Linked DNA regions of Arabidopsis thaliana. The protein of the gene in region 1 interacts with the protein of each later gene in a pairwise test. Each region holds a gene or a part of one and is shown in the gene's direction. Other genes may lie near its edges. The genes, in order: EIN4, EIN2 and AT5G63190.

Region 1 (9,659 bases):
CATATATTTATTACTATTTGGGAGTCAGAATATTTTATTTTTGTCAATTTTGCCGTCAAGTTTTAGATATACACATTACCCCTTTCTCTCTGGCCCAAAATTAAAACAATTATCGTCATTTATCCCTTTACTTTTAGAGAGAACAAATATCCCCCTCTCGTTAATTTTTTCAATTGTATCACTAATCAAAGTCTTTGACGCCATGATTGCCTTTTTCACTAGAAGTTCATTCATCATCTAAATGCACCGGTCCGGTTTATTGAATATCTTCTTCGTCTTTCTTTCTGATCCGTTAATAATCTTTCCATAGTCTATAAGATGTTATCATAATTTCATAAATTTTCATAATCCAATAGTTGATTAGTTTATGCACTAAAATAGGTGTTAAAAGATTTTAGATATGAAAATCATGTTTTGTGAATTTGAGAAAGAAGAAGAAGGGAGAAGTTTTTGGAGTGTTGTTTAGTGATGGAAGAAAATTCTGATGATGTTTATAACTAAACAAGATATGTCAAGAGATAAAAAAAAAAGAGTGGTGAGTGATGGGACGTTTGATTCTCTCATTGGTCTTTTCATCTCTAAAGGATGCTTCGGTTAGTCAATACAAGACTTGAAGATGCATTAAATCTGAAAAGGCCGGCCTTTGAGTTTTTATGGAGTTCATTTTGTGCTAGCTACATTTTTCAGTACTTGAAATCCCATCCGTTTATGCAATCTCCTAGCCAAAACAGATCATTGAGTTCCAAACAGTTACAAAGTCTTTTTTTCCCCTTTGTTTGATGCTTTGTTGCTTGTTTAGGAAGAAAGTGAATATGTGGCCTAACCGGGGTATTGGTTAGTGATTAAAGGCCTTTGTTGAATACCAATGTTGACGAATGCAAAGTTGAAAAAGGAGTTCAATCTTTTTGTTACACCCCCATTGACTTTATCATTTTCTTTTAATCATTCAAATCATGGTTTCTTTGAAATTGGAGGATATGTTAAATCAACCATGTACTAAATGACTAGAGAAAAGTGAAAAACTGAGAAGGTGAGTGAGTGATCTTTCGTTTCCCTCTGAAAAAATTAAATTTCTGTTTCCTCGAGAAATAAAAACAGATAAAAAAGGGTAAAAAGAAGAGATGCTTTAACACACATAAGTCAAAAACATCTTAAGTCAAATCTAGAAGATCTAACGGTTGAGATTCTATCTCATCATCTTCCTTCTTATCGATTAATATATAAGTATAAAATAATAAAACCCTAAAAGAAAACAAAAAAAAATGCAAAAAGAAAAAATGAAAAAAAATCCCTAACTCTCTCTCTCTAGAAATTCTTATTTTTGTGCGTATCTCTCTAAAAAGGAATGGATCCTAACGAAAGCCACCATCACCACCAACAACAACAGCTCCATCACCTCCACCAACAGCAACAGCAACAGCAGCAGCAGCAACGACTCACTTCTCCTTACTTCCACCACCAACTACAGCACCATCACCACCTTCCAACCACCGTAGCAACCACCGCTTCTACCGGAAACGCCGTTCCATCTTCCAACAATGGGCTTTTCCCTCCGCAGCCTCAGCCACAGCACCAGCCTAATGATGGGTCATCTTCTCTCGCGGTGTACCCTCATTCAGTTCCGTCCTCGGCTGTGACGGCGCCGATGGAGCCGGTAAAGAGGAAGAGGGGTCGACCAAGAAAGTATGTGACGCCGGAACAAGCCCTAGCGGCTAAGAAATTGGCGTCTTCTGCGAGTAGTTCGTCTGCTAAACAGAGGCGAGAGCTTGCTGCTGTTACCGGTGGTACGGTATCGACTAATTCCGGGTCATCCAAGAAATCTCAGCTTGGTTCTGTCGGTGGGTTTAATCTTTTCTTCTTTTGAATCTTATCGTTGGTCAATTTGATATCTAAAGTTTCCAACTTTAAGGTCAATGATTAATCTCCCAATTCTTAAATTTTGATTCTTTAGCTGTTAATTCGTTGGTGTGATTTGAGACGTAAGTGCCTTGAATTAGCATTATGTATAATTTACAGCAGTAGATTTACATCTTGAGTTTCTTAATTACACTGAAGATTGTGTAGTTAGATTCTTGTTTGTATAGTTTATCAATTTGTTTCTTTTTTAGATCCCATTGAGTATCTTTCAAGTGATCCTTTAGTTATATTCTGGAATTTGTGTTATACTCTGAGCTTTACTACAAGTTTTTTGTTGGTGCAGGGAAAACTGGACAATGTTTTACTCCGCATATTGTTAATATAGCTCCTGGCGAGGTATGTCATGTTCTTGTACACTCAAGATCCTTACTTGTAATAGAGATTTGTTGGTGTAGGCACAATATCTATCATTCTTTCAATTCTAAGTCATTCTATTTCTCTTTTTGTTTCATTGATACTAATGCAAATCGAGGAGGATCCTTAATGATTCTAAGTGTTCTCTTTGTGATACTGTCAGGATGTGGTCCAGAAAATTATGATGTTCGCAAACCAAAGCAAGCATGAACTATGCGTTCTTTCTGCATCAGGCACTATCTCTAATGCATCCTTGCGCCAACCGGCTCCATCAGGAGGCAACTTACCATATGAGGTGATTTTCTCTTGCAGTAAAATAGTACTCAGCTTGCTTCTTTGTTGTTTCTTTCCAAAGGGGAGAGGAGGGTTTTTTCTTTCTGATCCTTTCTCTCTATTCTGTGTGATAGAGGAAAATTGATACACAATACAGTTAGCATGTTGATAAAGCAAAGAGATTCTTAATTCAGATACTTTCTTTGAAGTTTGCATATCATTGTTAAACTTGCCTCAAATTTCAAAAAATTTATTCAGGGTCAATACGAGATTCTCTCACTATCTGGATCCTATATCCGAACTGAACAAGGTGGTAAATCCGGCGGCCTTAGCGTTTCTTTATCTGCTTCAGATGGTCAGATCATCGGTGGAGCGATTGGTAGCCATCTCACAGCTGCTGGCCCGGTTCAGGTACAATTCTGTTGTATCATAGTTTCAACTTGCATATATTGAAACATTGTTATTGTTTCCAACCATCTTACACAAAACTGATCATTTCCTAAGATAGGAGGTCTGGCTTTGATTGATCGCCTTAGATTTGTGCAAATGCAGGTGATTCTTGGTACGTTTCAGCTTGATAGAAAGAAGGATGCCGCCGGGAGTGGTGGGAAAGGGGATGCTTCAAACAGTGGAAGTCGGTTAACTTCTCCTGTAAGCTCTGGACAGTTGCTTGGCATGGGTTTCCCTCCTGGTATGGAATCTACGGGAAGAAATCCAATGAGGGGAAACGACGAGCAACATGATCATCATCATCATCAAGCCGGTTTGGGTGGACCTCATCATTTCATGATGCAAGCGCCGCAGGGGATACACATGACACATTCCAGGCCATCTGAATGGCGCGGAGGAGGCAACAGCGGTCATGATGGCAGAGGCGGTGGCGGGTATGATTTGTCAGGTAACAAAAAAGCTCAAAACTTCTCGAAAGATGTCATCTTTCTTCATCAAAGTTCAAACCCTTAAATCCAAACAAGGACAGATTAGAATTGCTATGGAGATTGGTGGAAATTAGTATTTTGTAGAGTTCTAGAAGATTACAGGCTAAAGCTCTTCTCCGTTGTGGCAATGGCTTGAAACGCTGATGGATGTAATCTTGTGCAGGAAGGATAGGACATGAGTCGTCGGAGAATGGAGATTACGAGCAGCAAATACCGGATTAGCAGAGCTTCCAGGAGAAGTGTGTAGAGTTTAGATCCCAAGTAGAGAAACAGAAGGCGAGCAAAGAATCTGAACTGAGAGAGGACTTATTAGACAGAGACTCGTCTGAAGGGTCTTTAATCATAGAAAGAAGTTGCTGAGTGATTGCTTTTGTTCTTCTTCTTGGTACGGTGTATTATATTAACTCCACAACCTTTTTTTTATACTTTCAGTAACGATTCTCCTTCACTTTCAATTTCATTCCTTTTTTTTATACTCTTTTTCTTTTCTTATAATATTTTTTTTGGTTTTTCTTTCGTTTGTTACTAAAAAAGGAAATGCTCTTTTTGTGAAATATATACACTTCGTTTGTTCGGTTTCTACTTATGTTAATTATTCATAACCTATCTTAATTTAGTAAACGGTTCCTATGAGCCGTTACTTGGACCAAAACATTAACTCATTTGACGAAGAACAAAAAAACTCATTTGAGAATTCTGTTTATTTATTCATATTAATATTGATTTAGTTTAAAATTCTTGGTAACTTTATGTCAAGTTGTCAACTTGTAAATTTCTTGATTGATAATGTTGGAATGCTATAACTTATGTGAAGCCAAAAATTACTGTTAAAAATTCTTATCTTTAATGGGAATTTTTTGTTGACATCTAAGCTTAAAGTGAAACACCACCATTTTTATGGACTTGAGCAACTCTCCGGAAATTGCTTAAGCGAAAAGTCTGCTGCTTTTGTCTTAAAAAAACTTTGAATATTGTTGACTCAAGTCTGAAAATCCGCAACTGAAACTCCCGGAAAAGATCTGCCACCACCGGACCAACTCGGTTTCTTCTCTTTTCTAATCACTTCTTCTGTTTCTCCAACTTCTGTGAAAAAGATGTCAGATTGACTCGATTTCGTTGCTACAAATGGAGATGGGTCTTTCTTATTTATCTTACTAGATTCGAGAGGTGTGTTCTTTCTCTATTCTATTGGCTTGAATCTTAGCTTTCGTTTTTCTCTGATTACCTTCCCCTGGAATTTAAAAAAAAAAAACTCAAAGGCGGTTTCTTTTCTCAGTACTACGAATATCGAGGAACATAGATCTTGATTCCTTTGCCTTCTTCTGGGTATGCGTGTTTGGAGTTGTTTAATCTCATTGGTCTCTACGCGTTGTGGAAATCTATGAATACCAAGTCAGTTATGTTTAATTGGTTCATTGGATCTCAACTTGTAGAGAGCCTCAAGATTGTGGCTGGATTTGATTAGGGTTTTAGATAGAGAGATTAAAGATTGGATCAGAAGATGTTAAGATCTTTAGGTCTTGGATTGCTTCTGTTTGCTCTTCTTGCTCTGGTTTCTGGTGATAACGATTACGTGAGCTGTAATTGTGACGACGAAGGTTTCTTAAGTGTCCACACCATCTTAGAATGTCAAAGAGTGAGTGATCTCTTAATAGCCATTGCCTATTTCTCAATACCTCTCGAGCTTCTCTACTTCATTAGCTTCTCCAATGTTCCTTTCAAATGGGTTCTTGTTCAATTCATTGCCTTTATTGTCCTATGTGGAATGACTCATTTGCTTAACGCTTGGACGTATTACGGACCACACTCTTTCCAGCTTATGCTTTGGCTTACCATCTTTAAATTCCTCACGGCGCTTGTCTCGTGTGCCACGGCTATCACGCTCTTGACTTTGATTCCGTTGCTGTTGAAATGGAAAGTTAGAGAGCTTTACTTGAAGCAGAATGTGTTGGAGCTTAATGAAGAGGTTGGATTGATGAAGAGGCAGAAGGAAATGAGTGTGCAGGTGAGAATGCTTACTCGGGAGATCAGGAAATCGCTCGATAAGCATATGATTCTGCGGACTACTCTCGTTGAGCTATCCAAGATTCTTGATTTACAGAACTCTGCTGTTTGGATGCCTAACGAGAACAGAACCGAGATGCATTTGACTCATGAGCTTAGAGCGAATCCGATGAGGAGTTTCAGGGTAATCCCGATTAATGATCCCGATGTTGTTCAGGTTAGGGAGACCAAAGTAGTGACAATTTTGAGGAAAAACTCTGTTCTTGCGGTTGAGAGCAGTGGTTGTGGCGGTTCGGAAGAGTTTGGACCGGTTGCTGCAATTCGGATGCCGATGCTTCACGGATTGAATTTCAAAGGAGGCACTCCCGAGTTTGTGGATACTCCTTATGCTATAATGGTTTTGGTACTTCCGAGTGCGAATTCACGGGTTTGGACCGATAAAGAGATCGAGATAGCGGAAGTTGTTGCTGATCAAGTAGCGGTTGCTATCTCTCATGCCTCAGTTCTTGAAGAATCACAGTTAATGAGAGAAAAACTCGGTATTCAAAACCGAGCTTTACTTCGAGCAAAACAGAACGCGATGATGGCAAGTCAAGCGAGGAACACTTGCCAGAAAGTGATGAGTCATGGAATGAGGAGACCAATGCACACAATTCTTGGTCTACTCTCCATGTTTCAGTCCGAAAGTATGAGTCTTGACCAGAAAATCATCGTTGATGCGCTCATGAAAACAAGCACAGTTCTCTCAGCTTTAATCAACGACGTGATTGACATTTCGCCTAAAGATAACGGGAAATCTGCATTAGAGGTTAAACGGTTCCAGCTACATTCCTTGATAAGAGAAGCCGCTTGTGTTGCTAAATGCTTAAGCGTTTACAAAGGTTACGGTTTTGAGATGGATGTTCAAACGCGGTTGCCTAATTTAGTAGTAGGAGATGAAAAGAGAACGTTTCAGCTTGTGATGTATATGCTTGGGTATATCTTGGATATGACTGATGGAGGCAAAACCGTTACGTTCCGAGTTATCTGTGAAGGTACTGGAACAAGTCAGGACAAGAGCAAAAGAGAAACTGGAATGTGGAAGTCCCATATGTCCGATGATTCCCTCGGTGTGAAATTTGAAGTTGAGATTAATGAGATTCAGAATCCTCCATTGGATGGTTCGGCTATGGCTATGAGACATATTCCGAACAGAAGATATCATAGCAATGGGATTAAGGAAGGCTTGAGCTTAGGCATGTGTAGAAAACTTGCACAGGTTAGTGATCTCATCATGTCTCTGTTTCTGTTTGGTATATAGAGATTCTAATTATAAACAGTGTATTTGATTTGAAATTTGTTTTGCAGATGATGCAAGGAAACATATGGATATCACCTAAATCGCATGGACAAACACAGAGTATGCAATTAGTTCTGAGGTTTCAGACAAGACCATCGATTAGGAGATCAATCTTAGCAGGAAATGCTCCAGAGCTTCAACATCCGAATTCAAATTCCATTCTTCGTGGTCTAAGAATCACTCTAGCAGACGATGATGATGTCAACAGAACCGTGACTAAGAGACTTCTTGAGAAACTCGGCTGCGAAGTAACTGCTGTCTCGTCTGGATTTGAGTGTTTGAATGCGTTGTCAAATGTGGAAATGTCGTATAGAGTTGTGATTTTGGATCTGCAGATGCCGGAGATGGATGGTTTCGAAGTAGCAATGAAGATAAGGAAGTTTTGTGGACATCATTGGCCATTGATTATAGCTTTGACTGCTAGTACTGAAGATCATGTTAGGGAAAGATGTTTGCAAATGGGGATGAATGGTATGATCCAGAAACCGGTTCTTTTGCATGTTATGGCTTCTGAGCTTAGACGGGCTTTGCAGACCGCGAGCGAGTGATTCGAGCTCAGAGAAGGAAGCAGATATCAATGAATCTTGAAAAGCAAAAATCTTGAAACGAAGAAAAGCAGAGTGAGGATTCTTTGAAGATGTGAAGCATAGAGACACCTCTCTGGGGAAATGTTTTTGTTGTTGTTGTTGTCTCGGTTCTACAGTGATGAGAATTGAGTCAGTTTTCTCTATTTAGCCTAGTTTGGAGATTGGTTGGTTCGAAACTATTTATACGTAATGATTTCGCATTTTTAGCGAAAAAATAACATAAGTTTATTAGATTTAATAATAATTAATTTTATAATTTTGTCTTGAGTAAATTCTCTCTGAATATTTATACAATTCTTTTTTTGCATCTCATTATTAAATTCATCATATTTTGTCAAAATTCATCGCTTGTATTCTCTAATCTATTGCTCTAACTTTTTATTCTTTGTTTACTATTTTTTGACATTTTTTATTTAGTTTTACTATTCAGACTGAATGTTTCAAGCATTGTATATTTTGGACATTTCTTTGTCAACCAAAAAGAAATAATATTGTATCAAATCAAATGAAATTTATTAATTATTTATTTTTTGTCAATGTAATTTAGTTAGTATTTTATCAAATGTATTTTTTGTTTGTTTTTTGATATAAACAAAAAGTCTATTTAAAAATACTTTTTTTGACGGCAAAAACTTTATTTGACAGCAAAAACGTTTTTTTCTTAAAGACTAAAGTTTAGACCAGACCACCACACCAAACGTTTGATTGCTAAATGTTAGTATCTATACGAACACCAAAGTTAATGTTATTTAATGCTTTGTGTAGTCTTAAGAACGAACATCACGTAACGCTATAAATTATGTTCGACATATCGATGTTCGAATTTTTTAAAATGTACTTATTTGGATTGGATATTAACAAATACCAAACGACAAAAAATAAATCCCCATTCTAGCTTTAATTCAGTTCTCGTTTCTCTCAAACAATTGACAAAAGAAAATCAGAAGTTTGTAATGGTTATTGGATATCAATTTATTCCTAATTTTCAATCTTTTTTTCTACTATCAATATATTAAGATGTAAAATTAAGAAAAATAAAACTTTTAACAAAAAAATGCATATACGCATTATCAATTTATCATTTGAGTGTTATTTAAAGTGAGGACCATCTACAACGGATATTTATCTTGGGAATTATAAAATTATTCCTTTTTATGTGATAAGCAGTACCTCGGCGTACTACTAATTGTTTTAAAAATCCTTTTATATTGTTTTTTTAGGACCCCTAAGCAATGCTTTTATCTTGTGGTCTTAGTTATACTTTTAATAATGCTCGTTTATGGATTCCTTTTCAAAGTATTATTTGTTAATTGCTCTTGTTAACTTTTGGCTAATTAATTATTATTGTCTTTTGAGTGCGGTTTAGGGCTTCCTTTTTGATAAAATATCACAAGAAAATTATGATTTGATCTTTCTACACAACACTTTTTCAAATTTCTAGTTTTTCAAATTACTTAAATTACAATTTAAAAACCTGAAAATCAGGTTTGATTATTTGATAATTATCTTTATTTTATTTAAATTGAGTTAACTCAATCATTAGAAGAAAGTGCTAACTTTGTTGGACTTAGATATGAATATTGCTCTATGTATGCCTAAAGATTAATTTATATATGTAAATTTTCGTCACACCTTAATAGCAACGACTAGTTTTCGGAATAGATAAATATAAGAAATTCAAAAGATAAGTCTATTATATTTTGTTGTTTATCTGCTTGACTACTTGGATCTAGATAAATTATTTTTCAAATCATACATTTGCAAAGGGGACTAATTTATGTGAGTAATTCAAAATTCAAAAGCACTCTAATCATAAATCATTTTAAGTATTATGCATTTCTGCTCGAGAAAGTACGGATATTAAACAAACAATTACCATGTCCATTAGGGTTTGCGTTTTGCAAGAGGAACCCATGTGGTACCATGTGAAATGGTCCTCTATTGGCATACCTTTGTTTATGATTATTAATTAAAAGATGGTCAAGAAAGCCTAGAAAATTGGTAAAATGACGACACTTATTAAGAAGACCAACAAGAGGTAATATATATATATATTTGGTATAATAGTTGCATTGGACTATTTTCCCCTGGTATATATATTAGCTGCATTGGTTTGGCAGTTTGCCATATATTTTTTTTGTAGTTGATTGTTTTGTTATATTATTTGAGGTTGACTATCGCTTATTTGTTATTTGACCGTTGCAGATTCACAAAATCATTATAATTCAATAGTAGTTAATTAGGTTT
Region 2 (11,709 bases), on another chromosome or scaffold:
ATTGCAGGAATATGTGCCTCAACACAAGTAATAATATGCATCAAAACTGAGCTCCAAGACGATTCATACCAAAAAATTGTGAATCGGGATGAGTAAATATTTGATTATTTCTTAGTCAATCTAAAAGTCGGATTTGATTAGGGAGTACAAAATGTAAATTTGTTTTGTGATTTTATAATATATCAACTAGTGCATTTCATTTACATTTTAAGTTAAGTTCATATACGTTTACGTTAGATACTGTAAATTTTTGGTCCGATGGTTTTGGATATAAGGGGCTGTTTTGACATTTCCGATTATAGAATAGATCATTTGCCTTCAATTTTTCTAAAAATGTTACGTAGACCCAAGCTAAATTTATTATTTGTTGGGCCAACCTAAACACTAATATCGATTGCAACACTTGGTTGTTGAAAGACCTAGCTACCACTTATATTACTAATCAATTTTTCTTGGTTTGAATGTGTAGATCAAATCGATTCAATTTACTACCAAAAACATTTGTCTGAGCTACAACTTTCGATCTAAAGTCCTGAGCCAAGCAATCTTTAATTATAGAAAATCATTACATAATCTCGAATTGTTTAAGTTACTTAAAATTCATATGTCTCCTCCTAAAACATCCCCGATTCGATCTTATTCTTCTGGTCTCCACGTAATAACTCACATACATTAAAAAAAGAACAAAAATAAAGAAAACCCACTTGATTAAACGAAAACATTTGTTGAATCGAACCAATTAATTGAACAATAAACGAGTTCTGATTTGTAACTGACGTCTCATGTTTCGAGGTTAATTACTAAAATTTTCAAATCTCCAATTCTTATGAACCCACCCACCATGTGTTTTAAGCCCAAGAGAGATTCAGTGAACCAAGAAGGAAAATAATTTAAATTGTCCCTTACACTAATGAAAGGTTATGTTAACAAAAATCCATTTTATTAATAGATTGATAGTACTAATAAATAAATATTTGGACACAAAGCCCAAAAGATCACAATCTAGTTAAAAAAAGATCGACAAGAAAGATTCTTTAAGCTGATGAATGATCTGTACCATGTAGCTTTGTTCCCTTTTTGGTTAACTGCCCAAACAACATCAACGAGACTTTATAAAAAAAAAACTTCCTTATGACCAAACTAAATAACTGAAATTGATTTATTAGTCAAAACATATTAAAGAACTTATTTGTATGATATCATTATACATTCCATATGTAACTGAAATATGACTATCTTGACTCTTTGAAGAATTCTGACTTTTTTTATTCAGTCAAACTTTTAAATTGTGTTGGTTACTCATCGGTACGGATAAAAAAATTCGTATGTGTTATTTCAAAAGTACTTGAAGAATATTGTTTCTATATATATTTATAGTGTTATAAAAAAACAAGTGTGGTCTCTATGTTATGGTTCATTGAACATATACATCAACATAGGACTGAGAGGAGCCCATGTTCCTTTCATTGATGCAAAATTTTAGTTTCTTGTGTTTTAATTTGCTTCCTATCCAATGTACATGTATATATACTTTCACAAGAGAATATGGATAATGTTGAGTATGTTAAATATATAGTGACAAGTTACATAAAAAAAGCCTAAAGAAATCAAATTGGAAAAAATAGTAAGGTACAATGTATGGTTATCGAAAGCCCAAGCTGTACTTCCATTGATGTAGGAGATGATTAGGAACACGTGGATTATATTTGACCAAAAATAGTAGAAATTCTATTTATATTTGTTTTCTTCTTTTGGTTTTGGGTTTGATTTTGTGATTTGGATAGTTCGGTTAAGGATGGTTTGATCAATCAATATAACCATACTAAAATATGATTCAGTTAACTAACTATAGTAACTGTTTCTTCGTTAGTAAAATGATACATTTATTGGAATCTATTGACAAATCTTAATGACTTATTATAACTGGTGATAACAAAATCTAGCTATTATTTTGTATCCAACTACATATTTTGTATAAAATGGAAATTCGTATATGATATTTGTTTAGTTTAAAAGTAGAGTGTATTTGTTTTTTCAATGATGATTTAATGAAATCAAGCTCTTAGTTGAGATCAAAAGACAAATAAAACAAAATGTTTTTTTTTGTTTTGTTTCTTTTCTATTTGAGGGAAGGCCATGAATTCTTATTTTTGACAAATAGTTGTTCTATGCAATTAATATTGATGTCTAATACATATACAGCAGAATAAATAAAAACTTGCTATATAAAGACGTATTATTTATAGCATTCTGTGGAGTATAATGTCGAATCCTGTTCTCATTTCCGATTTTACATATTTATGGTACTAACGCCTTCATTTATTTTTCCATTTTCGTTAGTCAACAACTTCAGCTTTTGATAACGCCTAATTGTATCATCAACTTTAGTTAGTTTTCTCAAATAACGTCATTTTCAAATAAAGTTTTTGATTTCTCTTTTATTATATTTATGCAAAAGGAAAATTATAATTTCAGTATTTTGCAGAACGCTGAAATGTATAATAGAACCTATTCATGTATTTTTGTAAAATTTTAAAGATTGTTTTAATACTAAAATAAGTAAATCATTAAAAAAATTCCTAGACATTGGTCTCTAATATAAGATAAATAGATCTAAATTATGTTTGGATTTTAATTCTAATAAAAAGGTAGCCAAAAGTTATATATACAATATTTAAACAATTTTATTTGTTTAAGATTTGAATTTTATAGTATGCGAGAATCGCGTAAACTTTTCTCGAATGTAACAAAAAATTTCAAATCTTCTCGACACATGTAATCTTTTGCGAGTTAGAAGATTTGATTCCTTATTTTTTGTTCGTATTCTTAAAGTTAGTCACGTTTATATTATTTTTCGCTTTGTAACCGTCCCTTTAAATTTTTAATAAAAATTAAAAAAATTGCTAGAAAACAACATTTTTGTATTACTCAAATCAAAAGTACAAAAATAAATTTAGCTAGCGTTTCACAAAATCAAGTAAAATAATCTCCATTTGAAACTCCATAATCAAGCTGTTTGATGTATTATTATTACATGTAATGAGGAGAAAGAGGGGTCGAGAAATTTAAAGTAATAATAATTCTCTTCTTCGTCCATGGAATAAACTACGATTAGTTTAAAAAGATTAATAAAGATGGATTAAAGAAACTATATGTTAAACCTGGAAAATTTATTTAAAAAGACGTTTTTTTAGCTATAAGAAAAAAAAGAATAATACCTTTATTTTTACATGTTATTTACAAGTAATAATTTTTTTTTTCTCTCTCTCTCTTTGAAGGTGGCACGAGCACCCATAACCTTCAGACCTATAGATACAAATATGTATGTATACGTTTTTTATATATAAATATTTTATATAATTGATTTTTCGATCTTCTTTTATCTCTCTCTTTCGATGGAACTGAGCTCTTTCTCTCTTTCCTCTTCTTTTCTCTCTCTATCTCTATCTCTCGTAGCTTGATAAGAGTTTCTCTCTTTTGAAGATCCGTTTCTCTCTCTCTCACTGAGACTATTGTTGTTAGGTCAACTTGCGATCATGGCGATTTCGAAGGTGACTTCTTTCAAAAACCCTAATCCTCTGTTTTTTTTTTTATTTTGCTGGGGGGCTTTGTACGGACTTTCATGGGTTTTTGTAGCTTTTCCCTCGGCTTTTGCGCAAATGAGACTTTCTGGGTTTTTTTTCCAGCTTTTTATAATTTCATCAGGTGGATCGAATTCGTAGTTTCAGCTTAGATCTCTCTCCCTCTTCATTATCTGGACTTTCCAGACTTGGAGTTCTTCGGGATTGTTTTCGGTTTCTGGGTTTTGTTTTAATTGCGAGATTTAAGCTTTTTTCTTTTTTACTACTGTACTTGGTTTGTGGTTGACCTTTTTTTTCCTTGAAGATCTGAATGCGTAGATCATACGGGATCTTTGCATTTTTGTTGCTTTTCGTCAGCGTTACGATTCTTTTAGCTTCAGTTTAGTTGAAATTTGTATTTTTTTTGAGCTTATCTTCTTTTTGTTGCTGCTTCATACTAAGATCAATTATTGATTTGTAATACTACTGTATCTGAAGATTTTCACCATAAAAAAAAAATTCAGGTCTGAAGCTGATTTCGAATGGTTTGGAGATATCCGTAGTGGTTAAGCATATGGAAGTCTATGTTCTGCTCTTGGTTGCTCTGTTAGGGCTTCCTCCATTTGGACCAACTTAGCTGAATGTTGTATGATCTCTCTCCTTGAAGCAGCAAATAAGAAGAAGGTCTGGTCCTTAACTTAACATCTGGTTACTAGAGGAAACTTCAGCTATTATTAGGTAAAGAAAGACTGTACAGAGTTGTATAACAAGTAAGCGTTAGAGTGGCTTTGTTTGCCTCGGTGATAGAAGAACCGACTGATTCGTTGTTGTGTGTTAGCTTTGGAGGGAATCAGATTTCGCGAGGGAAGGTGTTTTAGATCAAATCTGTGAATTTTACTCAACTGAGGCTTTTAGTGAACCACGACTGTAGAGTTGACCTTGAATCCTACTCTGAGTAATTATATTATCAGATAGATTTAGGATGGAAGCTGAAATTGTGAATGTGAGACCTCAGCTAGGGTTTATCCAGAGAATGGTTCCTGCTCTACTTCCTGTCCTTTTGGTTTCTGTCGGATATATTGATCCCGGGAAATGGGTTGCAAATATCGAAGGAGGTGCTCGTTTCGGGTATGACTTGGTGGCAATTACTCTGCTTTTCAATTTTGCCGCCATCTTATGCCAATATGTTGCAGCTCGCATAAGCGTTGTGACTGGTAAACACTTGGCTCAGGTAAACATTTTTCTGATCTCTAAAGAACAAACTTTTTAAAATAACAAACTGGGCTCTGTGGTTGTCTTGTCACTTTCTCAAAGTGGAATTCTACTAACCACCTTCTCTATTTTTCTAACATTTTAATGTTCTTTACTGGGACAGATCTGCAATGAAGAATATGACAAGTGGACGTGCATGTTCTTGGGCATTCAGGCGGAGTTCTCAGCAATTCTGCTCGACCTTACCATGGTAGTTACTTACAATCTTTGCTGTTCTTAATTTTTTTATTATGTGATAAAATTTTGATTCCTCTGACTTGAGCTTCTCTATTATAAACAGGTTGTGGGAGTTGCGCATGCACTTAACCTTTTGTTTGGGGTGGAGTTATCCACTGGAGTGTTTTTGGCCGCCATGGATGCGTTTTTATTTCCTGTTTTCGCCTCTTTCCTTGTATGACTGGTCTTCCTGTCTTGTTTTTTTTCTCCACGTTCTTGAAATAGCATTATTGGAAATTAGCTGACATGCATACAATTTCTGACAGGAAAATGGTATGGCAAATACAGTATCCATTTACTCTGCAGGCCTGGTATTACTTCTCTATGTATCTGGCGTCTTGCTGAGTCAGTCTGAGATCCCACTCTCTATGAATGGAGTGTTAACTCGGTTAAATGGAGAGAGCGCATTCGCACTGATGGGTCTTCTTGGCGCAAGCATCGTCCCTCACAATTTTTATATCCATTCTTATTTTGCTGGGGTACCTTTTTTCTCTTTATATGTATCTCTCTTTTCTGTTAAGAAGCAATAATTATACTAAGCAGTGAACGCTCTATTACAGGAAAGTACATCTTCGTCTGATGTCGACAAGAGCAGCTTGTGTCAAGACCATTTGTTCGCCATCTTTGGTGTCTTCAGCGGACTGTCACTTGTAAATTATGTATTGATGAATGCAGCAGCTAATGTGTTTCACAGTACTGGCCTTGTGGTACTGACTTTTCACGATGCCTTGTCACTAATGGAGCAGGTTTGTTCTGACGGTTTTATGTTCGTATTAGTCTATAATTCATTTTTAGGGAAAATGTTCAGAAATCTCTCGTGATTATTAATTATCTTGTTCTTGATTGTTGATCACAGGTATTTATGAGTCCGCTCATTCCAGTGGTCTTTTTGATGCTCTTGTTCTTCTCTAGTCAAATTACCGCACTAGCTTGGGCTTTCGGTGGAGAGGTCGTCCTGCATGACTTCCTGAAGATAGAAATACCCGCTTGGCTTCATCGTGCTACAATCAGAATTCTTGCAGTTGCTCCTGCGCTTTATTGTGTATGGACATCTGGTGCAGACGGAATATACCAGTTACTTATATTCACCCAGGTCTTGGTGGCAATGATGCTTCCTTGCTCGGTAATACCGCTTTTCCGCATTGCTTCGTCGAGACAAATCATGGGTGTCCATAAAATCCCTCAGGTTGGCGAGTTCCTCGCACTTACAACGTTTTTGGGATTTCTGGGGTTGAATGTTGTTTTTGTTGTTGAGATGGTATTTGGGAGCAGTGACTGGGCTGGTGGTTTGAGATGGAATACCGTGATGGGCACCTCGATTCAGTACACCACTCTGCTTGTATCGTCATGTGCATCCTTATGCCTGATACTCTGGCTGGCAGCCACGCCGCTGAAATCTGCGAGTAACAGAGCGGAAGCTCAAATATGGAACATGGATGCTCAAAATGCTTTATCTTATCCATCTGTTCAAGAAGAGGAAATTGAAAGAACAGAAACAAGGAGGAACGAAGACGAATCAATAGTGCGGTTGGAAAGCAGGGTAAAGGATCAGTTGGATACTACGTCTGTTACTAGCTCGGTCTATGATTTGCCAGAGAACATTCTAATGACGGATCAAGAAATCCGTTCGAGCCCTCCAGAGGAAAGAGAGTTGGATGTAAAGTACTCTACCTCTCAAGTTAGTAGTCTTAAGGAAGACTCTGATGTAAAGGAACAGTCTGTATTGCAGTCAACAGTGGTTAATGAGGTCAGTGATAAGGATCTGATTGTTGAAACAAAGATGGCGAAAATTGAACCAATGAGTCCTGTGGAGAAGATTGTTAGCATGGAGAATAACAGCAAGTTTATTGAAAAGGATGTTGAAGGGGTTTCATGGGAAACAGAAGAAGCTACCAAAGCTGCTCCTACAAGCAACTTTACTGTCGGATCTGATGGTCCTCCTTCATTCCGCAGCTTAAGTGGGGAAGGGGGAAGTGGGACTGGAAGCCTTTCACGGTTGCAAGGTTTGGGACGTGCTGCCCGGAGACACTTATCTGCGATCCTTGATGAATTTTGGGGACATTTATATGATTTTCATGGGCAATTGGTTGCTGAAGCCAGGGCAAAGAAACTAGATCAGCTGTTTGGCACTGATCAAAAGTCAGCCTCTTCTATGAAAGCAGATTCGTTTGGAAAAGACATTAGCAGTGGATATTGCATGTCACCAACTGCGAAGGGAATGGATTCACAGATGACTTCAAGTTTATATGATTCACTGAAGCAGCAGAGGACACCGGGAAGTATCGATTCGTTGTATGGATTACAAAGAGGTTCGTCACCGTCACCGTTGGTCAACCGTATGCAGATGTTGGGTGCATATGGTAACACCACTAATAATAATAATGCTTACGAATTGAGTGAGAGAAGATACTCTAGCCTGCGTGCTCCATCATCTTCAGAGGGTTGGGAACACCAACAACCAGCTACAGTTCACGGATACCAGATGAAGTCATATGTAGACAATTTGGCAAAAGAAAGGCTTGAAGCCTTACAATCCCGTGGAGAGATCCCGACATCGAGATCTATGGCGCTTGGTACATTGAGCTATACACAGCAACTTGCTTTAGCCTTGAAACAGAAGTCCCAGAATGGTCTAACCCCTGGACCAGCTCCTGGGTTTGAGAATTTTGCTGGGTCTAGAAGCATATCGCGACAATCTGAAAGATCTTATTACGGTGTTCCATCTTCTGGCAATACTGATACTGTTGGCGCAGCAGTAGCCAATGAGAAAAAATATAGTAGCATGCCAGATATCTCAGGATTGTCTATGTCCGCAAGGAACATGCATTTACCAAACAACAAGAGTGGATACTGGGATCCGTCAAGTGGAGGAGGAGGGTATGGTGCGTCTTATGGTCGGTTAAGCAATGAATCATCGTTATATTCTAATTTGGGGTCACGGGTGGGAGTACCCTCGACTTATGATGACATTTCTCAATCAAGAGGAGGCTACAGAGATGCCTACAGTTTGCCACAGAGTGCAACAACAGGGACCGGATCGCTTTGGTCCAGACAGCCCTTTGAGCAGTTTGGTGTAGCGGAGAGGAATGGTGCTGTTGGTGAGGAGCTCAGGAATAGATCGAATCCGATCAATATAGACAACAACGCTTCTTCTAATGTTGATGCAGAGGCTAAGCTTCTTCAGTCGTTCAGGCACTGTATTCTAAAGCTTATTAAACTTGAAGGATCCGAGTGGTTGTTTGGACAAAGCGATGGAGTTGATGAAGAACTGATTGACCGGGTAGCTGCACGAGAGAAGTTTATCTATGAAGCTGAAGCTCGAGAAATAAACCAGGTGGGTCACATGGGGGAGCCACTAATTTCATCGGTTCCTAACTGTGGAGATGGTTGCGTTTGGAGAGCTGATTTGATTGTGAGCTTTGGAGTTTGGTGCATTCACCGTGTCCTTGACTTGTCTCTCATGGAGAGTCGGCCTGAGCTTTGGGGAAAGTACACTTACGTTCTCAACCGCCTACAGGTAACAAAAACCGCAGTAGTTCATTGAAAATCACAGTTTTGCAGTTTGAAAATATTGACATGTATGGATTTAAACAGGGAGTGATTGATCCGGCGTTCTCAAAGCTGCGGACACCAATGACACCGTGCTTTTGCCTTCAGATTCCAGCGAGCCACCAGAGAGCGAGTCCGACTTCAGCTAACGGAATGTTACCTCCGGCTGCAAAACCGGCTAAAGGCAAATGCACAACCGCAGTCACACTTCTTGATCTAATCAAAGACGTTGAAATGGCAATCTCTTGTAGAAAAGGCCGAACCGGTACAGCTGCAGGTGATGTGGCTTTCCCAAAGGGGAAAGAGAATTTGGCTTCGGTTTTGAAGCGGTATAAACGTCGGTTATCGAATAAACCAGTAGGTATGAATCAGGATGGACCCGGTTCAAGAAAAAACGTGACTGCGTACGGATCATTGGGTTGAAGAAGAAGAACATTGTGAGAAATCTCATGATCAAAGTGACGTCGAGAGGGAAGCCGAAGAATCAAAACTCTCGCTTTTGATTGCTCCTCTGCTTCGTTAATTGTGTATTAAGAAAAGAAGAAAAAAAATGGATTTTTGTTGCTTCAGAATTTTTCGCTCTTTTTTTCTTAATTTGGTTGTAATGTTATGTTTATATACATATATCATCATCATAGGACCATAGCTACAAACCGAATCCGGTTTGTGTAATTCTATGCGGAATCATAAAGAAATCGTCGGTTTGAAATGTTAAATCTCCTAAACCGGATCTCTGCACGTAGCTGACACATCGACGCTAGATTACTGACACGTGTCCTTATCAATATTTCTTCTCGAAACGTCTTACTGTTTCATAAAGTCCTTCAAATTTCTGGGGAACTAAGAAAATCCAGCAGAGTAACTAATCCAATGGGTTATGTAATCTACATATCGTTCCCGGCGATTCTTCTCCTTCTGATCGTCGCTATCGCCTTTTATCTCATCGGACGAAAAATCGGCCGGAGAGAAGGGATTCAATCAACGTCGCAGTTACACTACGGACCGCCGTTGGCTAATTTTCCGGCACCTGCACCACCGCATAAAGCTATGGAGAAGCCACCGGAGCCGGTTTAGTGTATGTATGATGACGTAATAATACTTACGTATTACGTAAACGTTCTATATATGTAGTTTGTGTGTTAAATAAGATGTAATTGGGCCGATGCTGAAACCAATTTTAAAACAACTCTTTATTGGGCCTGGGGTTTAAGGAAACACTTCGTGCCGTTTAAATTCCGTACTCACCTAATGCAACCTAGAAACTACGCAGCGTTTTGACGGAAGAAGAAATATTCGCTTCTTCTTTTACAACTTTTGTCCCACAACGCAGAAAAGTCCTCTCTTTCTCTCTCTCGAATAATAATTTTTCATTTGCTGCGTCCTTTTGGTGCTTGAAGCGATGACCATGGCAGCAAATCTAGCGCGACGGCTGATCGGAAACCGATCGACTCAGATCCTTGGAGCCGTGAACTCTAGCTCAGGTGCGGCTAGTTCTGTCGCTAGGGCTTTCTGCTCCTCCACCACTCCGATCACCGCAACTCTCTTCCCTGGCGATGGGATCGGTCCCGAGATCGCCGAATCTGTCAAAAAGGTCCCTCATCCTAATCTCTTTTCTGCGCAGAATTTCGAGTTCTGGAAGTCATAGTTACGAGATAATTGTTTGATTGAATTTTGTACGATAATTTGTGGGAATTCGGCAATTTTGTTGATAGTTTTTGCGTTTTGTACTGATCCAGGTGTTTACAACAGCTGGTGTACCAATTGAGTGGGAAGAACACTATGTTGGGACTGAGATAGATCCGAGAACACAGAGTTTCTTGACATGGGAAAGTCTCGAATCTGTGCGTAGAAACAAAGTTGGTTTGAAAGGTCCAATGGCTACTCCAATTGGGAAAGGTCACCGTTCTTTGAACCTGACTCTTAGGAAAGAGCTTAATCTATATGCCAATGTTAGACCTTGTTACAGTCTTCCTGGTTACAAAACTCGTTACGATGATGTTGATCTCATTACCATCAGAGAAAACACGGAAGGAGAATACAGTGGCCTTGAACATCAGGTTTAGTTTGTTTTAAGTCTATTGATCGAATATTTCAGGTTAGTTCTTCTAATAAATGATTCTAATGATGGTTTTGTTTTCTCCTGACGCATATAATAGGTTGTTAGAGGTGTGGTGGAAAGTCTTAAAATCATTACCCGTCAGGCGAGTTTGAGAGTTGCAGAGTATGCTTTTCTCTATGCCAAGACTCATGGAAGAGAGAGAGTTTCTGCTATCCACAAAGCCAACATTATGCAGAAAACTGACGGTCTCTTTCTCAAGGTCTGCCCGTTTTATAACTCCAAGCATTTCTTATACGGAGGGATCAAAGCAATGATTGTTATTTCTGCTAGTTTTTTTTTTTTTACATTTTGTTCTGAGACCATTTTTATTTTGCTTCCGTTTTTCAGTGTTGTCGTGAGGTTGCTGAGAAGTATCCTGAGATCACTTACGAGGAGGTCGTTATTGACAACTGCTGTATGATGGTAAGCTATGACACCGAATCTACTATTTTTTCGTTAATTAAGTTAGTGGTCGGGACTCGGGATCACCTTGTAGATTTAGAAGTTTGGTTTCTTAGCAACTTGTATTTGAGTTCTGCTTTTCCACTGTTTTTACATGTGGAATATGCGACTGATAATCTTGAGATACCTGCAGCTTGTGAAAAACCCAGCACTTTTTGATGTCTTGGTGATGCCAAACCTGTACGGTGACATTATTAGCGATCTGTGTGCCGGATTGGTTGGAGGACTAGGATTGACTCCAAGGTAAAAACACTTGTTCCTTCATCTTGTGTAATAGTGATCTTTAGTATGATTATGAGCTACATCATCTTAAGGCCTTATTATCTTTGACGCAGTTGTAATATTGGAGAAGATGGTGTAGCCCTTGCTGAAGCAGTTCACGGTTCTGCACCTGATATCGCTGGAAAGGTTGGTCCTTCAAACAATATATCATTCCAATTTCATCATTTACGGGCTAAAGAGTATCATTTATGCATCCAATGTTGAAAGATTAATATGTGTGATTTTTAAATTTGTTGTTGTCTTTCTGTTTTGGGTGATGTAGAACTTGGC
Region 3 (9,399 bases), on another chromosome or scaffold:
CCAGAATAGGTGAAGAATGCACCATTAAGCAGTAGATCTCCTTCAGATCTCCAATTCCAATTTCTCCATTCGTCTTCCGGCGCATCCTCGTGCTTTGTTACCTATTTCCCCCCAAAAAAGACATAAGGATACAATCCAAGAACTTTGAATAAAATTAAGTGAAATAATTTGACACATAGAATTTGGTTAAAATTGAAGAAAAAAAAAAAGTTTGTGAACCTCTTTGCTAGATGAGTCATCAGGAGCAAGAAAACGGTTGCCTTGAGAGTTGATGGTAGGATTAGCACTTCCTCCAATTGCATACATTTCCCAATGTGTATAGTCATTGTTCACCACATGGAAATATCCATGTCTACACCTATATTTATATAATTTTTCATTTAGGTTGTTAAAATCAATTTTCATGTTCTACTTGTAGAATTCATCTCTCTGAATTGATCTACATCTAAAAATAAGATATTAACAAAATGTTAGCTCAACTAACCAACTATTATTTTTTCAGTTGATTTAGACATAGCTAGCATACTTATTTCGGTTGATCCATCTTAGATTTATTAAAGAACGAAACGTATTAAAGTTTAGAGCAGTAATTGTATCTTGGCTTTGTTATTTTATTTTAAGAATATGTCCAACCGACAATATACTTGACTTTTATAGTTGGTGACACATATATCCACAAATATAGGTATACTAAATAAAAAATTCTGTTTTGATAAAATACCTTGGCATTCTTTGGACGAGGCCTTCTCCAAAATGGTTAAAAGCGATAGTGACTTGCATGTTCTTGTCTTGTTCGTACGTATCACTGTGTCCCAATAACATAACCTTATTATGATGCGTCAAATAATTGTTCGAGATCGTTATAGCCGTTGATCCACGAATTGCATCAATTAACCCGTCGTTGCAATTCGATAGCGAGCAATGATCAACCCACACGTGGCTTCCACCGAATATTGACACACCGTCACCGTCGGATACCGTTCTATATCCGTAATGCTCTGGTGAGTCACGTACGTAAGTATTCCCACCTTGCTTGCAGTCATGTATGTGTAAACCATGGATGATGATGTTGGTTACATATTGTATGGTTATACATGGCCCACCGGAGATGTGTACGGAGGCTCCTCGTCCGTCTAGGGTTTTGAAAGAATTCATGATGAGTTCTTCTTTTAGTTGGATCGTCATGTCTCGCTTAAAAATGATCCATAGCGGTTCATCTTGAATGACTGCGTATCTTAGTGTTCCCGGTCTAGGGTTTACTGGATCATCGTTTCCTGGATCCGTGACCACATAGATTTCACCATCACGACCGCCAATAGCGTTCTTGCCAAAACCGATACCACAGTCTGCTAACCGTTTTCGGTTTTTCTCCCAATCCTTGTCGCATCGCCAACAATCATCGATTGGATTACCACTCCCGCACGAGAAGAACCCTAGCTTCCTTCTTGATATGGACTCGTTTATTTTTCTAATGCATTAACCAACAGACAATATATTAGCATTAATTAATCTTGACGTACGTAATTAGGCGTACTCATAAGTCATAGCTATTAATGCAGCAATAGTAACAAGTGAGTTTGTGATCAAGATCAAAATTAGCCTTGGATAGAAAGAACTTGGAAGCAATATCTAATACCAAACATTTGACTATTTGAGTGTATGTAAAATGCTTTTACATTTTTGTTAGAACATATACCTGTGTACTTCCTCGACAACAAGCTCAGGGTCGGAAACGGGCAAAGACGAAGCGAGAGCGGAGAACAAAATGCAGCAGAAAAAGATAAGTGCGAAGGATAGATATGAAGAATTTAGCATTGTGTTTCTTTGGCTTTTTGTTGTTGATAAATTTGAAGGTATTAAAAGAGAATTGGGACGAAACATATGAGTGAAGAGAGAAAGACAAAGCAAAGCGATAGACTATATAGCATATGAACACTTCGGGTGATTTATTGCGCATGCAACTTGACGTTAATTGGACCCACCTTGCTTAACCTTTTTCCTCTTCTTGTGAAATTATTTTGGTGTGTGAGAATGGAATCAACCCAAGTCATTTTAGAGAAGAAGAAATAATGCAAAATGTTTCCTAAGATTCAAATTTCATGATACCTGATAAAAAGTGTTTGGCTGAACTAAAAAGTGTTGTTCAGAAATGTAATTCTGATCAAGCTAAACGGAGCTGGTTATGATTTAAAAACGGAAGGAGTAATATCAGCCATCATTACAAATATAATTGGCTCAACAGTTCTAATAATTAAGATTATCAAACCGATAGCACTTAATACTGTATTCAACATTCAGGTAACGCTAGGAATGAGTCACGTGGCTTAAAGAAAAAAAACACAGAACTCGTAATTAAAATCTCAACGAACTTAAAGCTGAATGTTGGTGAAACACTAAGTACGGTGCACCAAAAGTCAACACTGTGTTAGTAATGTACTTTAGTACTAATATTTAATATTACGGTTTAATTTTTGTACCTTTATCATTACTTTTACGTTTTAACGGTTGAATATTATCAATAGCATAGCAGTTAGCTCAATTTAACTGATTTTTTTTTTTTCCTTTTTTTTTTTTTTTGTTAAAGCTCATATAGTAAAGTATTACATTTCGAGATACTTTAGTGTTTCTGCTATCTACTAAACCATATTTTGATAACTAAACGTATATGGATTGTAATTGTAAGAATACGATATTTGATACACTTTGAATTGTTTGATAAGTTGGTTTTAGAGTGTTTGTTATTATTATTATCTTTATACAAAATGAATTTCTTTTGGTGTCTCAAAGAGATATTGCTTGCAGGAAAAGAGAAAAGAATAGACCCACCAAAAGCAATAGAATAGGAGAACTGAGCCGACACTGGCCCATAGAGGTTTGATTTTGGGACCACCGAACCATGTGCTCGAGTCCAATCTTTCAATAAATTCTACACATATAATTTTCTTAAATTCATATAACGTTTTTAGAATAGTAGTGTATTCATTCATATCTAACAATCAGACCCTATGTTGAAATTTTGGCTGGTACAAAATGTGTTGACAATCAATGCACATGGGAAGTATTTGCATCATCACTCTATATCCTCCTCCTCCTCCACACTTTAAAAAGAACAATGTCTTTAAAAACTTAATCAACTATTCGATTACAAGTCTCGCCGACATTTTTCTTTTTGCTAGAGCCATTCATGTTGATGAATTTTCACTTCGGGCAAAAATATGGATCATGAGTTTAAGTCTAGTTTTTTTTTTTTAAATTACTGTTAGTAGCAAATTATTTTATACATTAAGCAAATTGTGTATTCTGGTACATAAACTGCAGAAAACAATTAAATGACATTTCTCACTACATTTTAGACAGTTTTGGACATTCATTCGATTAGTAAATGATTTCGTTCTCGTACGTGATGAAACACGAGAACCGATCGACATTAATGTTCCTTTTTCAGAATATTCTCAACGCTCAAAAGCTAATCTATATACATTTTTCACTACTTTTTACATGATTCATAGAATACAAAAATAATTGAACGCATTTGAATAAGTAACTAAATATAGAGTATGATAATATCTAATTCAACCATTTTAATTATTGACTACATTGGCTTATCAAACTGAAACTTGATCATTTGGATAAGCAAACTTAACAAATTAATGTTTTGAACAAATGCTCAACTTTACAAGTTTTTTTTGTCTTCTATACGAAATCAATTCAAGTTTCATGACATTGTCTTGTGAAAAAAAAACAAGAAAAAATGTAGAGAATTGACCTTTCTATAAAGAAATAGAGTCGTTAGATTGGATTTAAGGTGGTAGATATAAAGAAAACCGTCGGATCAGAAAATAGAGACAAAAGGGCATGTGACCGGTTTTTGCTTGAAAACTACTTGCTAACTTCTTCTCTACTCATTTATCAGTGTTATAATTTTTTTGTTTTTTTTATACACATAGTACGTTCACTAAAATAACAATTTAAAATGAATATTGATATAATTTAGTCATAATAATTTGAAAAATATAAAATACAATATCCATATCTGTTTTAAAACTATAAACATGATGGCCATGATCTAATAATATGATTCCATGAAGCATAAAACTTTTATTAACGTAGTCAACCATTGGATATTGTCCAGCCCAAAATATCTAATTCAATGGGCCGAACCTACCCAATACAGCCCATTGTTTTGGATTAAAATCTTTAAAAAAATTGGAGGCTAAATTAAAAAAAGAAGGAAATATTCTAAGCCCTCCACGTATTACGTTGATGACGTGTACCATCGTATATAAACAAATGCACAAAACTTTATTATATTGTTGTAAAGTAGTACTTTTATTGGCGATCCTCATCCATTTCCTCTCTCGTCGTTGTCTGGGAATCGGTGACTTTTGAATCTTTGCGACTCTCTTGTAGTGATAAATTGATCGTTATCTACTTTGATACTCTCCGGTCGTTTTTCTCCGGTGCTGGAGATCCGATTCCTTATCTTTTCTGTCTTGGCTCGAGATCCGAGCCAAGCAGTAAAGAAGACGACTTTGTTTCACGATTTGGAATTTGATTCCTGCGATCACAGGTATGACAGGTTAGATTTTGTTTTGTATAGTTGTATACATACTTCTTTGTGATGTTTTGTTTACTTAATCGAATTTTTGGAGTGTTTTAAGGTCTCTCGTTTAGAAATCGTGGAAAATATCACTGTGTGTGTGTTCTTATGATTCACAGTGTTTATGGGTTTCATGTTCTTTGTTTTATCATTGAATGGGAAGAAATTTCGTTGGGATACAAATTTCTCATGTTCTTACTGATCGTTATTAGGAGTTTGGGGAAAAAGGAAGAGTTTTTTTGGTTGGTTCGAGTGATTATGAGGTTATTTCTGTATTTGATTTATGAGTTAATGGTCGTTTTAATGTTGTAGATGGCATCGGGTGAGGGAATTTTGACGGATGGACAGTGGAAAAAGCTTGAAATAGCAACTCATAATTCTGGAAGTTTGTCATCATCGCCTAAATCTCATACTCTCTTTGCTGATCTGAACATTAAGTCTCCCACTGGTGGCAAAGGACCAGTTGCTGGGATTCCTAATAGGCATGTGCGACGTACTCACTCAGGGAAGCATATTCGTGTTAAGAAGGGTATTAAACTTTCTTCAACCTTTTGTGCTTGTTATTTGGCTAATAGATCCTTTTAGGGAGTGATATGACTCTTTATTAGTTCCTTTCAAATTTGCTTTAGTGAAAAGACTTAAGTTTTCAGTAGAAGAGTTCAAGTGTGTAGGTGATATATGGTTTACTTATGTGGCAATGATATCTGCAGAGGGTGCTGGTGGCAAAGGAACTTGGGGAAAGCTTCTTGACACTGATGATGGTGACTCCTGTATTGATAAGAATGATCCCAATTACGATAGTGGAGAGGTACTTTCATATTTGCGCCTTTTGTTTTGTGTTGGATACTTTTCCTTGTTTCTTTAGTGTATCTAACATCCCTTGATTTTATCTTTTATTAGTAGTTTGCTTTTTTCATTCATATACTCAATTTAACAGGACGCATATGATGGACTTGTTGATTCACCGGTATCAGACCCGTTGAATGATTACAAAAAGTCAGTAGTTTCCATCATTGACGAATACTTTAGCACCGGGGATGTGAAAGTGGCGGCATCTGACCTCAGGGAACTTGGTTCAAGCGAATATCATCCTTACTTCACCAAGCGACTTGTTTCTATGGCCATGGACAGACACGATAAGGAGAAGGAAATGGCTTCAGTGCTACTCTCTGCATTGTATGCTGATGTTATTTTACCTGATCAAATTAGGGATGGATTTATAAGACTTCTCAGATCTGTTGATGACCTTGCGGTGGACATCCTTGATGCTGTTAATGTCCTTGCATTGTTTATTGCACGGGCCATCGTTGACGAAATTCTCCCTCCGGTTTTTCTGGTTAGATCTAAGAAGATTCTTCCAGAATCTTGCAAAGGGTTTCAGGTTATTGTAACTGCAGAAAAGAGCTATCTCTCAGCTCCTCACCATGCAGAACTAGTGGAGAAGAAATGGGGAGGTAGTACTCACACTACAGTAGAAGAAACGAAGAAAAAGATATCTGAAATCTTGAAGGAATACGTGGAAAACGGAGACACTTACGAAGCTTGTAGATGCATCAGGGAATTAGGTGTCTCGTTTTTCCATCATGAGGTTGTGAAGAGGGCTTTGGTTCTGGCGATGGATTCTCCAACCGCTGAGTCACTTGTACTAAAGCTGTTGAAGGAAACTGCTGAAGAAGGACTGATCAGTTCGAGTCAAATGGTGAAGGGATTCTTCCGAGTAGCAGAGAGTCTCGATGACCTTGCTCTAGATATCCCATCTGCCAAAAAGCTGTTTGATTCGATAGTTCCAAAGGCTATTTCTGGAGGCTGGCTCGATGATTCATTTAAGATAACCTCTGATCAAGATGGAGAAAAATCGAGTCAAGACGGAAAGCTAAGACAGTACAAGAAGGATACAGTGAACATAATTCAGGAATATTTCTTATCAGATGACATTCCTGAGCTAATCCGCAGTCTTCAAGATTTAGGGGCACCTGAATATAACCCGGTGTTTCTGAAGAGGCTCATAACTCTTGCTCTAGACAGGAAAAACAGAGAAAAGGAAATGGCTTCGGTTCTTCTTTCTGCTCTTCACATGGAGCTATTCTCAACTGAAGATTTCATAAACGGTTTCATTATGCTCCTGGAATCGGCAGAAGACACAGCTTTAGATATCATGGACGCATCAAACGAACTTGCTCTGTTTTTAGCTAGAGCTGTGATTGACGACGTCTTAGCTCCACTTAACCTTGAAGATATCTCAACCAAGCTGCCTCCAAAATCAACCGGAACCGAAACAGTCCGCTCAGCCAGGTCTCTTATCTCCGCCAGACACGCAGGAGAGAGACTCCTAAGAAGCTGGGGAGGTGGAACCGGCTGGATAGTGGAAGATGCAAAGGACAAAATCTCGAAACTCCTAGAAGAATACGAAACAGGAGGAGTAACATCAGAAGCTTGTCAATGTATCCGCGATCTAGGGATGCCTTTTTTCAACCACGAAGTAGTGAAGAAAGCTTTGGTGATGGCAATGGAGAAGCAGAATGATCGGTTACTGAATCTGCTTGAGGAGTGTTTTGGTGAAGGATTGATTACAACTAACCAAATGACGAAAGGGTTTGGTCGTGTTAACGACAGCCTCGATGACTTGTCGCTTGATATACCGAACGCGAAAGAGAAGTTTGAGCTGTATGCTAGTCATGCCATGGACAATGGTTGGATCCTTCCCGAGTTTGGGATTTCTGCAACTCAGTGATTAGTGGTTCTCTTATCAGTTTCTTGTGTTTGTGCTTACGATACTTTCCTCACTATCTACATATATGTATGGATTCAGTTAGTAGATAAACATGAGATGTTTATATGTTCATGTGTTTCTGTCTGGTTGTTGTGTTTTGTCTTTGTACTGATATCTTTTAGTGTGTTCTAATTTCTGATGGATTTTTGTTACATTGAAAATAAGTTATTAGCATGGTTAATTTGTGTTAACTTATTACTCTTGTGATATTTTATGAAAATTATTTATAAATATAGAAAATATGGTAATTAAATTATAAAAAGATAAATAAAAATATATTTGTTCGGTCGGTGAGATAATTATGACTCCGGTTCCGGGATAGAGCAAACAAAAGGATAGACCAATACTCGTTGCCAAACAGCTTTATCCTCGTTTTTATATTTGTTTTGATTCTTTCTTCTTCTGCTCAACTTTACTGTCCGGCGTACTCAGCACCATCAATGGACCGCCCGGAGACGATCGCCGTCAAATGCGAACCCATGACCGTTGACTCTCCTTCTCGACCTCTAAAGCTTGTAGTTTTAGCTGACCTTAATTTCAATCCTCCTGAGACTGATGATCTTGACTCATCCATTCCAATCCCTACTCCTCCTCCCATCACTAGGTACTTCTACATACGTAGTTGTGTGTGTTTCAGCTAATTAACCTATTTCTTTCTGTTGCTTTCGACTAACTTTCTTTTGCTGAGATTTTTTTTTCCTCTGTTCGGAAGAAACATATGTTTGAAGTGACATTTTTGTTACGGGGTTGAATATATTGATGTCTTCTTATGCCGCAAAATCTAAAAATCGAGACTTTGGATATCTTTCAGCAAGAGTCTAAAAATGGGGAATTTTTTTTTTGATAAGTAGAGTTTGATTCTTACTGCTTTGGGGGATAGGAGAAGCTTCATGATTCTTAACTTAAATACATTTTTGTGTGTTTTAGGTTGAGTAACGAGGAAAGTCATCAAGAGGGAGGTATATTAACATGCAAGGAGGTGGAACCAGGAGAAGTAGAAGCCAAAAAGATCAGCAAGGTGGGAAAATGCCGCTCCAGAAGTAAGATTGAGTCTTCCTCTGATTGTGGAGTTGATGCAGATGGTGATCTGGCTAATCAAGGGGTCCCTGCATCCCGGGAAGAAAAAATCAGTAACCTCAAAATGGTGAGTTTATTGACTCATAGTATCGTAGAAAGTGTGCTTGGTCATATTGGGGCTAGGATTTCATAAAGTTGCCAAGAATGCATTCATCGTTAAACATTTGGAGAAAGAATGATGATGGTCCTCTTATATTCATAATGCTCTTCGCAGTTGATTATTGGTCTAATTTTCATGATGATGATGCTCTATATAAATTCTGATTTTCCTTCTCTGCTTATAGGGTTTGATTCATGTTGCAAGGAAGATGCCCAAAAATGCTCATGCCCATTTTATACTTGGTCTTATGTTTCAACGATTGGGCCAATCTCAAAAGGTACGCTTGAGCTGAGGGTACTCTGATGTATCTTAGAATAATTATCATCTTAGTGATTTTAACTGCTAGGAGGTTTTAGGCGATACCAGAATATGAGAAAGCTGAAGAGATCTTACTGGGTTGTGAGCCAGAAATTGCTCGGCCAGAACTTCTCTTATTAGTTCAAATTCACCATGGACAGGTGATGATCTTTGTGTCTGAACCAAATTTCATATTTGAAGTTCTTGTATTCGAGAGCTCCTTAGTTTATTGACAATTCACTCGAAGGTTTTAACATTGTACACTTGAAAACATTTTAGTGTCTTCTTTTGGATGGTTTTGGGGATACTGACTCTGTTAAAGAGCTTGAGGGAGAAGAGCTTGAAGAAATTCTTTCAAAATTAAAGGATTCTATAAAGTTAGATGTTAGACAGGCAGCCGTGTGGAATACCCTTGGTTTAATGCTTCTCAAAGCTGGTTGTTTGATGGTAAATTTCCTCACCATGTTGGTTGATTATCAATGTCATTCCTTTTGTTATATAGTTTTGCTTTGTTAATTTGTAGAGTGCCATATCAGTTTTGTCATCCTTGTTGGC

What was found.
Region 2: the proteins of EIN4 (region 1) and EIN2 come close enough for resonance energy transfer, tested with the Arabidopsis thaliana proteins (one study listed by BioGRID).
Region 3: the proteins of EIN4 (region 1) and AT5G63190 interact in a two-hybrid assay, tested with the Arabidopsis thaliana proteins (one study listed by BioGRID).

The regions. Positions count from the first base shown.
Region 1 is NC_003074.8:1,233,290-1,242,948, reverse strand, and holds EIN4 (Signal transduction histidine kinase, hybrid-type, ethylene sensor), read left to right. Parts: upstream 1-4,332; 5' UTR 4,333-4,983; coding exon 4,984-6,744; intron 6,745-6,833; coding exon 6,834-7,373; 3' UTR 7,374-7,740; downstream 7,741-9,659. Other genes in the region: AT3G04590 (AT hook motif DNA-binding family protein), read left to right, coding at 1,346-1,838, 2,201-2,253, 2,435-2,566, 2,803-2,955, 3,097-3,442, 3,646-3,704.
Region 2 is NC_003076.8:784,047-795,755, forward strand, and holds EIN2 (NRAMP metal ion transporter family protein), read left to right. Parts: upstream 1-3,381; 5' UTR 3,382-3,551; intron 3,552-4,084; 5' UTR 4,085-4,542; coding exon 4,543-4,791; intron 4,792-4,935; coding exon 4,936-5,022; intron 5,023-5,112; coding exon 5,113-5,223; intron 5,224-5,314; coding exon 5,315-5,527; intron 5,528-5,608; coding exon 5,609-5,794; intron 5,795-5,904; coding exon 5,905-8,565; intron 8,566-8,642; coding exon 8,643-9,020; 3' UTR 9,021-9,358; downstream 9,359-11,709. Other genes in the region: LOG6 (lysine decarboxylase family protein), read left to right, coding at 8-31; IDH-V (isocitrate dehydrogenase V), read left to right, coding at 9,997-10,188, 10,334-10,654, 10,754-10,915, 11,044-11,118, 11,291-11,400, 11,493-11,565, 11,702-11,709. UniProt on the Arabidopsis thaliana protein: Central factor in signaling pathways regulated by ethylene (ET) and involved in various processes including development, plant defense, senescence, nucleotide sugar flux, and tropisms.
Region 3 is NC_003076.8:25,341,233-25,350,631, forward strand, and holds AT5G63190 (MA3 domain-containing protein), read left to right. Parts: upstream 1-4,309; 5' UTR 4,310-4,570; exon of another isoform or gene 4,571-4,579; intron 4,580-4,912; coding exon 4,913-5,129; intron 5,130-5,310; coding exon 5,311-5,408; intron 5,409-5,496; exon of another isoform or gene 5,497-5,537; coding exon 5,538-7,331; 3' UTR 7,332-7,568; downstream 7,569-9,399. Other genes in the region: AT5G63180 (Pectin lyase-like superfamily protein), read right to left, coding at 1-101, 220-358, 722-1,468, 1,697-1,881; AT5G63200 (tetratricopeptide repeat (TPR)-containing protein), read left to right, coding at 7,811-7,974, 8,298-8,514, 8,732-8,824, 8,904-9,005, 9,124-9,291, 9,368-9,399. UniProt on the Arabidopsis thaliana protein: Involved in target of rapamycin (TOR)-regulated translation control, especially under energy-deficient conditions.